Linked DNA regions of Danio rerio. The protein of the gene in region 1 purifies or fractionates together with the protein of each later gene. This does not show direct contact. Links are inferred from orthologs where the notes say so. Each region holds a gene or a part of one and is shown on either strand. Other genes may lie near its edges.

Region 1 (3,181 bases):
GATATTGCACAAAAGTAAGAGAAGGAATTAAGCGGGGACTATCCTTGGTGAATTTAGTCTTGACAGGCTAAATTAAGTTATTCTTTGCAGCTAGCCTACACCAGAGCAGGCTAACAACCAGGCTAAGATTAATCCTAGTGATTTATAATGTTAGTTTTAATGTCAATGCTACTAGAAATGAATGCGTTTTACATATCTTTTTTGTATTACTTATTATTATTATTATTATATAGTTTTTTTTTTTGATGAAACCTCAAATAAAAGATTAAATAGTCTCAATTATGAAGAAAAAAAGTATAAATGGAAATGATAGATAAATGATTATACTGATAAAGATTAAATAAACTTAATACAATAAAATAAACAGACAACGGGAGTTTCCAGATTGGTGGACAATAGAGGCATTTTTTAACTCACATCAGGTTTTATCAATATTTGTTACCATTGATTCTGTAATCGATCCTGTAATCTGTTAACATGTGCGTGAATGTCCACACATCCTGGCTATCAACATCAGGTTTGACATAGCGGCTTGTTCTCATCCTGGATAAGCAAATGTGCAATGGACTAAGCCTAGAGGACCTAATTAAACTAGGTCAAGCCATGCTTCTTCTGTTATCCTGGCTTTCTTGATTTCAATTTTCTACAATAACGCTCAGGATATAAAAACATGTACGTATACACACACACACACACTCTGTTCCCATGCACTTCAGCTGACCCATACAGTTTCACCACCCTTCATGGTCTCTTAAAAGGTCAAAGTTACAGCACACTTGCTTCCTCACACCATCTCCATTTCCTCCACTCACACCCTCATCTATCATCTGCTCAAATACGTCATTACTACTGACATTGTATTAAAGGCAACCCAATTTATTTAGAGATTATTAAGGCTCTCAACTGGTTTGCAGCTCACCTTGATCTGTACAAGGAAATCCCTCAAGTGCTCCTTGAATGCTGCGATGTCTTGGTTTAAACTGAACAGGCCAGTCACAAATACTTTTACCTGGGCACTACAAAGAGGAAGAAAACAATCATACAGTCAGATTGGAAATGAAACTAGACATGAACAGTTTGCAGACTGTTGCTGCAGAACTAAAACTGTATTAATTAATCTCACAGCAAGATGTCTACTGAGAACAAACAAGCTTTTACCTGAGAGATGTGTTGCATGACATTCAACCAAATGCAATTATCACCAAAACAACTGCAGTTAGTGGATTTACTGACACTGATTTTATTATTAACCTCCTAATGCTCTGAAAATCTGTATAGTACTTGGGTCCTTCTAAACCCAACGCATTAGTATTCCTTTTTCAAAAGATGCAGGTTTGTGAAGCATCAGCTCAGGTGCATTGTGGGATACTCACTCTTGTAAGTGTGGGAAAGCTGATTTAAGCAAGTTGGCCACATACTCCTGGATGAACACTTGGTTGTTGACTGGGTTTGATGGGTTCAGAGTTGTACTGATTTTTCCTTCCTCGACGAGGTTAAACATGTACGCTAATATTGATGCGTGCATAGTTAAACCTAAAGTTTTAATGCAAAAAAAAAAATGACATATATAAGAACTGAATTATAAAAACTAGAGTCAAGCCTGAAATTATTCATACCCAAGCAAATTCTGACCTAAAGCTTTTGTTCGAATGTGAATAAAAGCTGAGAATTTGATGCCTCTTGTACATAGTCCTATTGTCTTTTAGGAGAAGCCCATGTCGCTTCTGTAAAGTAATTTTAAGTCAAAATTTGCCAGGGGTATAAACTATTTCAGGCTTGCAATGATTTAAAATAATTAATAGAGTGTTTTAAGGAGCAAGTGATAGGAGCTGACCGGCTGTGTGTGACGTGTCCGTGACGACAGAGAAGATGTGTTGAAGGATGTCACAGAAGTATGTCTGATAGAAGCTCTGAGCCGCTGCCTCCTCCTGAGCCACATTCTGCAGCAGAGTGTAGAGGATCTGCAGGCCTGCAGGACATTTCACATTGTATGTTATGCTTAATGATTATGGTTTATCAGTTAGGCATTACGGTACATAAGATATCAGTGTTCTCACCAGTGTCTGCCACATTTCTCATAGTGTGTTTAAAAGCCCATATAATGGAGTCCAGCACAAGCTTAAACTGGGCTGGGGGTATGGCCAAGAATGCAGGGAAACAGTGAGAGTTCACCGCCTGAAGCAGGTAGAAGAAATGCGTCCGGTGCTCTGGGTACTCTTCAAAATCCTAAACAAAAATATAAATGTATACTAGTTATTTAGTTGTTTATTTTTTATATCATGGAAAATAAATGGGGACTATATTATATAATATTTTCCCTTTTTACATCATTTAATAATTTTCTTTTTACGTGATAAACATTTATTAATTTCTGGTAAAATCTTATGCATTTCATTATAAATTAATAAATAAAGTAATAGTACTAGTGTTAAAAGTTTAATAAAATGTGTTTGATGAAAAGCGAATCGTAAAAAAGCGAATAATAAATTAATTTATCCATTCATAAATATTAGTACTAGTATTAAAGGTTTTTTTTATCTTTAAGCAAAATGGTTTTTGCAAAAAAAAAAAAAAACATTTGATCAAATATTGAAAGTCTCTTTATGATTTAGGAATTAATTTAGGTAAGGCTTTATTTTTATGGTCCCTATTGCACATTTTGTTGACAAAGTTGCATTGCAACCACATGACAATCATTTCTTATTTGAGTATTAGTAGACTGTCTGCTTAATATCAGTTGATACTGCTGTTTCAACAGACATTAAACTGACTATAAAAACTTTGCAAGTACATATCAACTTAAACTAACCCTTACCTAACAGTCTACTTATAATCTAATGAGAATTAACTGGCATGTAGATGCAATGTTTGTTCAATTCAACAAAATGCGTTTAAGGGACCATCAAAATAAAGTGATACCGTAATTTATTGTAAGTGAATGTACATAAACCCAGGTAAAAAAGGAATATAATGCAATTCAATGTGGGACACAATCTGCCCCTCGAGGATTTTGCTGGGAAAATTATTTTTATATTTGTGGCGTAAAATGACAGATTTTGTGATGCTTTCTCAAAACGTATGACATTGTGCACTTCAATTCTTGTGTTATGCTTTGAAAATACACAAACATTTTACAATTTGTATATTTTTGATCTCAAGAACCACTAGATTCAAAATTCTG
Region 2 (3,660 bases), on another chromosome or scaffold:
TTAACAAAACATGAACAAATACATACAGTGAACTAGTGTATTTTCATTATCTGTCATTTTAATTATCAGACATTCAACAGTGTTATTATTCACGGTACTTTACTGAAACAAGTTCAGCTACAAATCAAACATAAACTGAAAAGTTTTTTACAGTGTAACTTTATAAAATGAAAAAAAAAAATAAAATATAAAAATAAATGTGAAAAATAATTTCTTTAAAGCTTAAAATTCAGAAATCTATAAAAATAAAATAGTCTGTTGCTCTCTTCTTCTCTGCTCTAACAGTGGCTGTTGTGGCAACAAAGCACAAATTCCTTTGTTTGCATTCTAAGCAAGAACTGACTCCAGGTTTGCAGTGTTAAGCAAAGCTAGCAGGCATATGTCTCATTTAAAACAGATGGATCACTGTATGGTTTCAAATATTCACCGATACCAGAATGTTTGCAGTATAAGCGAGTATTTTCAATTCTATAATCAGAACAACCCTAGTTTAATGTGATAAAAATGCTACAATGTATATCATTAACTATTTTTTTTTTACCTTTGATGTATGTAAACCCACTGAAAAAAATAAATCGGTGTATGAAAATAAGTGTGGGTACCTGTGGTTATAGCAGGAACAGCTCCTAGAGGTTTCAGTGACAGGCTTGCTGGAGCACTGGATCCTGAGGTCATGACAGGGGCCACTGATGCCGTCGAGGAGCCCACTGAAAGAAACAGAACAGCTCATGTGATCTCATGCCATTTTCTAAACAGTCATCTGACATGATAGCAGCACTGCCACATCTTTTGTCATCATTGAAAGAATTATTACAATTACTATTACAATTACTAAAGGTGCAATAGGCGATTGTCTTCAGATCAAACTGAGTAACGCTGGTTGAAAGTTTCTTCACATCCTAATAGCAATCATTAAATCAAGTGGTCCAAATGTATTCACATTAGTATTGTGAATTTATACAAATTCCCAAATGCCAGCCGCACCTACAGTTTTCGCTGATATAGCGATCATCACAATAATTAGCTTATTCTAATTCTTTGTTTTAAAGCAGGGGTCACCAATCTTGCTTCTGGAGGGCCGGTGTCCTGCAGGGTTTAGCTCCAACTTGCCTCAACACTACTGCCTGGATGTTTCAAGTATACCTAGTAGGACCTTGATTAGCTTGTTCAGGTGTGTTTGATTAGGGTTGGAGCTCAAATCTGCAGGACACCGGCCCTCCAGAAACAAGTTTAGTGATGCCTGTTTTAAAGGTTCATTAGAACCTTGACTTCTTTTGAGATTCACAGATTGTGTTGAGCATCAATGCACACAACATAAGCACCAATTAGCTTTAGTTATGAGGAAATTCTGATAATTGTATTAATTTTGTCTAACTTCATCTCCATGTCCATTATGTATCATTTTTACAAACAATTCTGATGTAGACTTGAACTGAAAAAGGGGTTCAAGAGCATTTAATCATGGTTTTATATCATCTGGTTTCAGTGACATTAGCATTAATTATGCAACTATGATAAACATTACTAACCCCAGCATCTGTCTTTGGAAGTCTGGCCACATATAATCCGCATATTTGTGCCAGTCTGTCATATAAAAAAATGCTTAAAACATGTTTATATTATCTACCTGCGGCCCACCCACAATTAAACAATTCACCATTTTATTATCTGACCAGCGTACTAAACTAAACTGCTGTACGTTACTAGCCATTTGGCATTTTTACTAGCCACAGTTTTGTTGTTGGGAAAATAGTTTTTCTATGCATAAATTTGATTTTGGCATCCTAAAATTACTTGATTTATATTATGTATTATGTCCACATGCCTCCTCATTTTTTGAGTGTTGTGACTTTGCTCAATGAGGATGAGCAAATGTGTTAGGGTTTCATATTGTTGCATTTTACATGACGTTTTAGCGCTCAACACTTTTCTCTGGCCACACCAAACTAATTATTTCCTTGCCACAAATTTTAAATAATGTGTAAAAATGAGCAAAATATAGCAATGCACTTATTATTCAACAAAAATGTTCTTTAAAAAAAACAACTGACATTTAAAAAAAAATAAAAAATCTAATTTATCTAAAACTATACACAGTAATCGGTCCTGGCTGAGTATATGGAGAGTCAATCTTCTATTAAAGGGGTAGTCCAGAGTGTATTTTATTTTAAGAGGCTCTGATTGGTCAGCTAACAATGTTTAGTAATTTGCAGATCACATCACCAAGAAACGTCTGTTTCAACCATAGACCAAAAAATATGGACATAGTATCCATGACATAATCATAGGTTTCTGAAGAGCGCAAAAGAAGCTACAAGTAGGCGCCGTATGGCCAAGCGTCGCTATTTTGTTCACGCATTATCGCACTGACCAGGGGATACCCAACAAGGGAAAAGAGTTGGAGCATGAGCGGAGCTACAGATGCCTGCTAGCATTTTGTTTAGACGGGCTTTTCTTGGGGAGAAACACTTTTACCTTCATCACCTAGGACTCGTTTGTGTTCTGACCACATGTGCTTGGTTGAATATTATATCAATAAAGTGTTTAGTCTTTTAGAACACTGATGTAATACATTGAGCCGCTTAGCGTTATTTTTATGAGATTTTTTTCTACAGGAGAAAAACGCTAATCACTTCCAAAGACTTCAAATACAGTGCGTGTTAGTAGATGCAAGGCTATTTATAAAATCCAGGCATAAAACTGTTTTACAACATTTCAGACAAAAGTTAACAGCTAATAAATCTGTCAGATTGTAAAATTGGCCATTTACCATTGCAGTCAGAAAACATTTGGATTTCTCTTCGCTGGACGGGGTGTTTGTGTGTAACCTGAAGGGTTTATGACTTCATTAACCCGGATGCTTTTTTTTTAGTCCTCAAACTTCGTTCGCTGTAGGCTATGCTAAGCTAACTCTGTAAAAGCTAACGTCTCCCTTTACACTGAACTTTGAGCAAAATACATTTAGAAATGTTGTTTATGTTTGCACAGCTACATTACACATCAACTAAAGTTTAAAATTTAATAAAAAATCTCAAAAAGCAGCAGGACTGTGGGTGCACGAGCATTGCTTTTTTTTACCCAGTCTATTTCAAAGAGAACCGATCGCACCAGTTTTGTTTTCAGGCATGGTTGCTTCATGCAAGGAAACGGGACACGGGAGCTTTTAAGCACTCGCGCATCACATCAACTGTGCGACCAACACTAAAGCCCTCATTAGTGAGTAAGGATCTCCTGTGTCTAACTGTGCGCCTGAATATCTCATATTGACTTGCTTTCTTTTGCATGCACGAACAATTAAGTCATGCTGCTTCTCGATTTAAGATCACATCTGCATGCATATTGACAAATTATAAATTAAAATTCTAAATTTAGAGACGAGCCAGCACTAGCAATTTAAAAATCATGTTCAACCAGCCAAAGTCGCTAGCGGGAGTGGCGATCTAATCCACCACAGCTGAAATCTATCCACATTTGGCAGGTTGGCGGATGTTAATGTCAAGTCCTATAACTGATTATAATATAAATTTATTAAAAGAAAAGCTTGTCCAATCAAAATGTTAGGTCCGAACATTACGATAGGCTGTCATACCTGCCTGTCAAAATATGTAATTGTATACCACTGAGCACACCATTCGCGCAGAAAGAATTACGTCATCAGCA

What was found. Proteins that work in one complex are often made in the same cells at the same time.
Region 2: the proteins of xpo1b (region 1) and nup62l purify together in Homo sapiens (affinity purification with western blotting; 4 studies listed by BioGRID and IntAct, with this or other methods). This does not show direct contact. The link is inferred for Danio rerio from reciprocal best matches to the Homo sapiens genes XPO1 and NUP62.

What each region holds. Positions count from the first base shown.
Region 1 is NC_133192.1:25,333,496-25,336,676, reverse strand, and holds part of xpo1b (exportin-1), read right to left. Parts: intron 2,227-3,181; coding exon 2,058-2,226; intron 1,970-2,057; coding exon 1,835-1,969; intron 1,534-1,834; coding exon 1,374-1,533; intron 1,017-1,373; coding exon 920-1,016; intron 1-919. UniProt on the Homo sapiens protein: Mediates the nuclear export of cellular proteins (cargos) bearing a leucine-rich nuclear export signal (NES) and of RNAs.
Region 2 is NC_133189.1:11,208,240-11,211,899, reverse strand, and holds part of nup62l (nucleoporin 62 like), read right to left. Parts: intron 778-3,660; exon of another isoform or gene 708-777; coding exon 603-707; intron 1-602. UniProt on the Homo sapiens protein: Essential component of the nuclear pore complex. The N-terminal is probably involved in nucleocytoplasmic transport.